Drosophila melanogaster: one gene and its partner. The protein of the gene in region 2 interacts with the protein of the main gene of each other region in a pairwise test. Each region holds a gene or a part of one and is shown on either strand. Other genes may lie near its edges.

Region 1 (4,925 bases), on a different chromosome or scaffold from region 2:
TTTGTTAAATGATTGATGTGGTATTAATTTTAATAAACGTTTCTCGTTCCTCGCTGCTCCATCAATATGCAGATCCGTTGGAGAACGAGAACGAGACCGAAAGACCAAGAGACCAGGCCAGTTTATAGCAGCCAGCTCGTTTCGTTCTGCGGTTCTTGGCAAATACATTTTTTTTTTTATGGGCACACGCAATTGCGTGGCGTCTGCACTTTGGTTCGACAAAAAAAAAAAAGGTGAAAAAATCGGAGAAAAATGAACGTTGGAAAGGAGGGAGGGGGGAGGGGCAGGTGGTGGCCAGGGGCAGCAGATTGAAAGTGCCTCAATCACATTGCGTCCATTTGGCGTTGCTGACTCTATTAAAAGTGTCATGCGATTCGGGCTAATCCTTCAGAACAGAGATAGTATATCTAAAGTACAATCAACCCTAATTTATTTATTTAATTATTCGTTTGGCTAAACTTTTAAAGTATACACTTTAGAACACACTATATTCTTCTTTAAATACTTTACAAACCCTGATTCTGATTTTAATGACTTCTAGCATTGACATCAAAGTTTTCATTTGGGGAATTTAACAAATTATTTTTAGCCAACTGATCTAGCCGCTGACCTTTTGCTGTGAATTACAGGGTTTTGAACCAATATCATATGATGTGGGCCAGCACGATGGACTTGCATAATCAGCTAACTGAAATTCGAATTGAAATCGAGAGCAAAAGCCCGGAGGAGCCGTACAAAAACGATCATTAGCGGAAATCTGTCTTAGTTTTTCGGTCCAGATCAAAGGCCGGACGAGATTGATGAGCGAATTTTGGATCGGGGCCAAAAGATCATTATGAACGGCTGCCTGATGCGTTTTAGCCTTTAAGTGTTTGCTTCCGCTGTGCGATAAGCGATACGAGTCGAAAAGTCAGCGTGGAAATACGATCTCTACAGATTTGCCAAAACCCCAAATGAAACAAAAAAAAAAAACAACAAAAAAAGATTTTAAGTAGACCCAGGAATGATTCCATCGTTAGCTTCACACCTCAAGTGAGCCTGAATAATTGATTTTGAGAGCGAGAAACGAGAAACGGCAAACGGCGCCTACCTGGTACCTCAGTATCTCAGCCTATCAATAGTATCTGTATCTGCAGCTATGTATCTGCGGCGCATACCGTGAAATCCGTTGGCACACAGAAAACAGTGAAAAAATCCGGGGCTGAACAAGCCGCGTCCAATCGATTTGTATCCCGTTCCCCGGCATTAGATACTACCAAACAATCCCGATGAGTTCCAATCATCATCGCCTCACAAAAGGAATCCAGCTGAGCGGCTGACAAAAGGTGTGCGCTACTGTGAATTCCTCGGATGCGAAATCGTATCCGTAACTGAATACAAATCGAAATCCGCGGCGTCTGTTGTCATTGTTTGTTTATGGCTGTTTATTGTCAATGCTAATGCCGTGTAAGTGGCTGATTTGTCCGATTACTGTACGTATGTACATATATTTTATAAGCGACAATTGGTAAGGATTTGGCAGCCGCAACTGTGAGATACAGAAATACTTGCCGTAAAGTAACTTCTTGACTTCTCTGCGCGAATGATTTATGTCGAAGTGCACGAGTGTCTGCGGGAGGCATTCATCAAATCATGACTAAGTCAGCAAATGCCTGCCAGTCACTTGTGCGCAGTGAGCCCACATATGTATCTATGAGATACTTTCGGGCTAAACTCTGCAGCGATAACTATGAAATGTTTAGCGAAGCGAATAGTGGGTGTAATAAATTGCTCTTAGTACATTGGCATTTTTCGTTTTTGGGTGCAAAAAACACTAGTTTTTCTAGAACAGTTGATTAAGACCCAATTATGCTTGTAATTCTGTATATTACAAATATTAACTTTCTGACATGACAATTGTATCTAAAGTAATGGTCACCATAATTGGCATAATTTTATAATTTCTTATACAGATTGATACATTTGTATCTCTACACCCTGTAATTGTATCTGTATAATAGAATCTACTACTTTTGGGCTATGCTGTCGATAGTTTTCTATTCGATGGATGGCAATTGTGTGTAAAGTGACGGTAAGTGTGCATAATTGAGGCCCAGTGTTAAAAGAAAGATACACTTCGATAAGAACGCTCTGACCAAATCGTATCTGTAGTGACCTATCTTGCAGATACATATCTCGAGGTGCGGTTTTGGTATCTTCGGATTTGGGATTTGAGATTTCGGCTTACCGGATTAACTTGTGGCTTCTGCAAGTGTGTGGCGATATTGCTGATGTTCATGCCCATGGCCGGAATCTGGGATCCGTAGAGCTGACCGGCGGTCGGTGTCATGTCCGTTAACATGGTTGCTGTGGATGTTCCTGCTGCGTCTCCTGCTGCTGCTGATGTTGCTGCTGCTGCAGTGGCAGTGGCAGTTGTCGTTGCTGCTGCGGCTGCTGCTGCTGCTGCTGATGTCAATTTGAGGCGCACAATGATGCTGTCTGTTTTGCTTCTGCTTTGTTTTGCGGCCACTTGGGTTTAGGGTTCGATTTTCTATTCTTTTCTTCTTGCTCAACTCAACTACTTTTTTCTTTGTTGCGACTATTGTTGCAGGCCAGGCTCACTGATCTTGGAGAGTAAGGGAAAAAAGATGTAAAGGACATGGACAAATGGATTGGCAAGCACAGCACAGCACAGCACAGCACAGCACAAGCACACACGCACTCAGAAAAAAAGCAAAGTGGGCTAAATCGCTTGAGAGCAGATTATGGCCCAGCTAATAGCCCAGATATGTATAATCCGTATCTGTATCTGTATCTTTTCTCGAGTCCGTCGGCGTTGCACTTTTCTTCACTCGGCCGTCGGCTGATGTTTGCTGCTGAGAGTTGCAATGTTTGACTGCTCTTATTGTCACTGGGATTTTGTGCCTATATATGGGCTTAATTTTTTTTTTATTTTTTTTATTCTTTATAGACTTCTTTTCTAAGGAACACAGGCAAAAAAAAAATGAAATATAAGCGATGGAAATTAAAGGAAACTCGAACCAAAAATGCACACAGTTGTTTTGTTTAGCTTGGCTGCTTGTTGGCTTGTTTATGTTTGTTTGTTTGCTTGTTGGTTTATTGTTTATTTATTTGCTTGTTTGTTTTTATGTTTATTTGTTTATTTATTTGTTTGTTTGGTGACAGGAGGCGCCTGCCAACGAAAAAAAAGTGTCGCTGCTGTATCCGCGCCAAAAGTAACGCCGTCGTCGCTGATCGTTCAAAGGCTTGCAACTGTTTCACGCGAACAAAAAGCTTGTCTAAATGTCGCCGCTGCCACCAACGCTGCCACAGTCGCTGCCGCTGCCGGCGTAGCTGCCGCAGCGGTGCGAGTGAGATAGCACACAGTCGTAAATTCACTCCAACTAACCAAAATTCAACGTGGGGGCCAACGATGCCATCAGTGCAAGCGAGACGCTCGTACAGACAATCCAAAAACAACAGCAACAACAAAATATAAAACAACACACACCACTCTCTAGAGTGGTGCGAATGGGTGCCAGGGGTAAAGATATATATATATATATATATATGCATTCGTGTATTCGTATTTTGGTGGTGTGTGCGCCTTTCCCTTCCAGTTTCATTCATAAAAACCCCGGCTGCTTTGGGTAAAACCAGTTCCCAGAGCACAGCCCCCTCTATATGAACGCTTTGGCCAATGGCAGATCGGACGGGCCTAACCTATAATTAGAGCGATGGCCGCTGTGCGAGCGAGATGGCACGCACACGGACACGTGCCCCTCGTGCCGTCTCTTTCGACAGTCCTGCGGCCCTCTCTTTCATCGCGTGCCTGCGTTAAAAACTGAAAACAAATGCACACACGGCAACAACTACTATTGCGTTCAATTAAATGTTCGCCAATGTTGTTTTCCCAGAACTGGATAGCTGAAAATCGTAGGAAAAACAAAAGGGTATACGAAATATATGTATGAGAATAGAAATGAAAATCCACGCAAGATGACAAATTGTTTTCCATTTCGACTTTTCGTTACTATCGGTCGCAGCGAAAGGGAGTTTTGCGGGGAAATGGTCGTGTTTTTACCTCGAAAACGACTAAATTAAAGAAAAGGAAATTTGGAAAAGACCAGCGAAACTTAGATTGCAACAGCTTTGCCCCCAAAAGTAGACTAACTCTGGAAATTGCGACTTTAAATGGTCTTAGCTTGAGCAAAATAAATCCAGGTGTGGTTTTATCACAGCGTTTAGAAATGGAAAATATTGCTAAATATATATAGATAGTTAAGAATGTTCGAAAATCATAACAAATACTTGGAAGATTTCACCGGATGTAAGGCTGCAGAAAAGGGTTTAACAATTGGAATTTATCTGACACATTTGAAAATTCTGTTTCAGAAAATTCACGAAATTCAAAGTATTTGTAAGATTACATAGCATGTTATTTTAGTAATATTTTAGGAAAACTAAAAACAATGTACATATGTACTTAGACTCTGATTTGGAAGATCCCGAGAAGTCGTGATTATTCGGAACCCAATCCAGATTAACCCGTGCCAGTTGGGCCTCCCACAGCTGGAAGCTGCCGGTCGAGCTGTTGCATTTCAGGGCTGCAGCTGAGAAGCGGGCTAATTGAACCACACCCCCTGTACCGCCCCGCCTCTCGCCGCCCCACCCCTCCGGCCTTTCTATGCAAACAAAACGCCCAGGCAGCCGAAAAACGCCAGCCCCTGTGAGAAAAGCTGAAAAGTCCAAAAACCAGCAACGGACTGTCGATGGAGGTGGATGATGTGGCAGTAGAGATGTGGAAGTGTGCCCAGCACAAGTTGCCTGGCCGCGGGAAATTCTCTGCACAGCGGGAAAATTGAGGAAAAGTGGGCCTTGTGCCAATCAGTATGCACGTATCGAGCATAATAACTTGATAATGAAATCAATTTTAAAGATAACCA
Region 2 (3,380 bases):
AATAAGGTATGCCGTAGAATAAATAATATAGCATAACCGATGCATCCCTTTCCATCTCCACCCTCAAGCTATAAGCAATGTGAAAGCGGAAATGTCAGTTCACTAATATCTTCGATTAATTTAAAGCCTAGCAAATTCTGATAAATATATAAATCCACGATTTAATATTTTAATGGCATTAGACACTTCTCATAAAACTACCATCACAACAGTCGCTGAATGCCAGTGAAAAAATCGGAAGCCACTAGAAAACCAGTTACAACCCTTTTGCCACACATGCTCCCCCCTATCCACTGATACCACCGGCAGCTCTGCATCAATAGGCAAATGGGTGGTGGTGCTGGGAATCCACTTTCAGTGGCACATGTATGCTGGAACGATTCGACAAAATGCTGAAAACGGAATTTGCAAAATGTCACGTCTGACGTTCGCTGGCAACTAAGACGGAAATTTACCACTAAATGACGACCAACCCCCGAAACGAGGTGCCACTGATACGAGGGGCAACCTCAGAGCTCGATGAAGTGCAAAATGGAAGCCCAGACGAGTAACTGCCATTATGGGGAACTTCTTCAAGAGAGATGAATACTTTTACAGTAGTCATGCAGTACGTACATTGATTGAAACAAATTCGAATAAATCAATCCACATTTAATTTCATTAATTGTTTTGGACAATGTTACAGAGGATAAAGGACTCAATCGGTAAGACTCCAGCCAAAGGTATACGGCTTGTTGGCATCCATTGGCTGCATCATGGCATAGCCGTCCCAGCCGCAGGAATCACCACCCGCATTCGTTGGCAGGTTGTAGTAGCCGCAAGGACTGCCCATGGAGGTTTGCATTTGCTGGCGCTGTAAAATCTGCGCCTGCAACGGTTGCATCATCGCGAGATTGTTAGACGGCGAGTGCTGCTGCACCATGACTGGGCCAGGACAACTCACAGAGCTCTGTTGGCTTGGCTTGGACATGTATGAGGGCGCAGGATACCGGGTCTCCATTCGTTGATATATAGGTTGTTGGACAATGGACTTGGGGCAGTTGGTATGTGGCGCCTGTGGCTGTACCTGCTGCATCTGCATGCGCTGTTGCATTGCTGCCTGATGAGCACCTAAGGGTGGCTGTATTGGCTTTCCGTCCACCAATACCGGATAAACTTTCCCGCCAAAGACGAGCCCGCTGCCATAGGTGACCATGCCATTCTGTGGCACTTGCGGTGAACTGTCTTGCACAGTTGAGTTTTTCATTGTAATGGTGTCTCTTTTTTTTTATTAGAATTTTCTAATTCGAATTTCAGCAACCGCACTCCTAAAAGTTGATCAAAATACTGACGAGAGATTTAGATAGATCTGACAACAGAATCTCAGCACTCGCTTGAAAATCCCTCGGCCTGCTAATTAATGTGGCTTAACTCTGAGCAACCACCCTATATTTGCAAGAAAGAAAAACTCAGAGGATTTTCGACCTTATCATCACGTACACTCCGAATTGATAAACTTTGTCAGCTCTCTAGGAAGCGGGAGTCATTTTTAATTAAGCCGAGAGTAGAACTTGAAGAAGGCACCCGAGATTGTCAGAGATAAAAAGAAAAACAAGAAAGGGATAACCAAGATTACTTGAATGTAAAATAACAATGTGAATTCATGTGGCCACACCAATTATGTATACACAAATAACAGAGAAAGAACCTAAAACAGAGTGATTGCCTTAATGGAATTGTTCAAGACTAGTATAAACTGATTTTTGTGTCAGTTCGTTTGAGATGCCTTAATCGAAAAGCCAATCAAAAATTAGAAAAAAATAGTTTGGCTTTCCGACACAAACACAAGAAATTACCACATCCTGGCCCATACCTTCTAAAATTTAATCCGAATCAGGTAAGTTTTTGTGGGTTCTGGGTGTTTAAGAGGTTAAGGTCAAACACGTAGGTCCCACAGGAAATTGCCAACCTGTCTACCCAACATGTTTCCTGATGACTTCGACGTAGAACCCTTCAATCCATTCAATGTGGGACCACCCAATAGTGGAGCCCGATCTGAATTCAAAATACCTACATGCGTTACGTATCCGCCACCGGTATTCGTACCCAAGTCCGAATATGTACAACCATCAGAGGAGTTGGTTTCCCGGAAGAGCAACCAAAGTATAGGCAAGTCGACTATCGGCGAGGTGGACATTTCCAAGGCCATCAATGAAGAGATGGCCGTGGCCAAGAAGCAGGCCGAAGTTCTCAATGAAAAAGATCGCATTGATGCGGGTGGTGTTTCAACAACGAAGCTGTCCAAGGTATCTCAATCAAAGGAAGCGGTTTCAAAGGACTCTTTGCGCACCCTAATGCCAATAAGGTCAAACCGTCAGGTCAGTGGTGATGGTAGAGCAAATTCCAAATTATCCATATCACAATTCAGTGCGGCATCCAAGACGAGCTGCACAAATAAGCAAAGTGAGGGTGACGTGGCCTCAAAGTCTTCGAACATAACATTGAAACGATCTGCAATAGGCAACAGTATTTCCTCAAATACCACCCTCACTCCGAAGTCAATTTTGAAGTCGAAACATTTCTCAGAAGCAGCCAAAGCTTCCTCTACCACAATGAAATCAAAAGTTTCAAATAAGCCATCAGAAACTGGAACGCAGCGCTCCTTCAAATTAAATCCTGCTGACTCAGACTCGAAACAATCTCTAAAATCTGCAAAACCAAAGCATTCCGATTTTAAAATGCAAGATAAGAAGCTGACCAGTTCTCAAGAACAAGCCCCGTCTGTTGTTGCCACAAGTAATGCAAGGCAAGACTCTTGGAATGATCGTGTCCCTTCAAAGACCAACAAGTCAAATGTACTACCTGAATCCAAGGATGGCCCCAGCTATATTCATTCGGAAGCAGCTTTATCCTACAGACAGTCCTTGAACCAGCAGGCTGCCGAAATGGCGGATCGCCTAAACGCCGGAAATGAAAACTTTAGGCGTTACAACTCCGTGGCACGGAATCACTCGATCAAAGTACCTCAAAAACTTACCGATGGGGATCGTATGACATTTTGGTTCAGCGATGCTGTACTTTCCTAGAAACACATTTCCTTGACAAACAAATTCTTAGTTCATATTTACTGAGAACTGCTAGCTATTAAATAGAAAAATCAAATCGAAAATTAAAAGTTTTTACAATATACTTTACTGTTTGGTTAACGAGTCAGAAGAGAGAAAACTAACCTGATTTGCGGTCTATCATTTTTTTTTTTACTGATGTTCAGTGTCATTAATTCAAATGCGCTAAAAATTTGCGGTCACTTCGTTCTGAATGCATTGACCCATAAAATATGCAAAAAAGGTGAGCTCAATTTTGCAAAATAAATGCGGATGCAAATAAAGTATACATAAAAA

Evidence for each region.
Region 1: the proteins of CG12307 (region 2) and Sp1 interact in a two-hybrid assay, tested with the Drosophila melanogaster proteins (one large-scale study listed by BioGRID).

What each region holds. Positions count from the first base shown.
Region 1 is NC_004354.4:9,727,980-9,732,904, reverse strand, and holds the start of Sp1 (Sp1), read right to left. Parts: upstream 3,258-4,925; 5' UTR 3,022-3,257; exon of another isoform or gene 2,606-3,021; 5' UTR 2,342-2,605; coding exon 2,228-2,341; intron 1-2,227.
Region 2 is NT_033779.5:11,650,694-11,654,073, forward strand, and holds CG12307 (uncharacterized protein), read right to left. Parts: upstream 1,318-3,380; 5' UTR 1,247-1,317; coding exon 698-1,246; 3' UTR 638-697; downstream 1-637. Other genes in the region: CG4983 (uncharacterized protein), read left to right, coding at 1,962-3,065.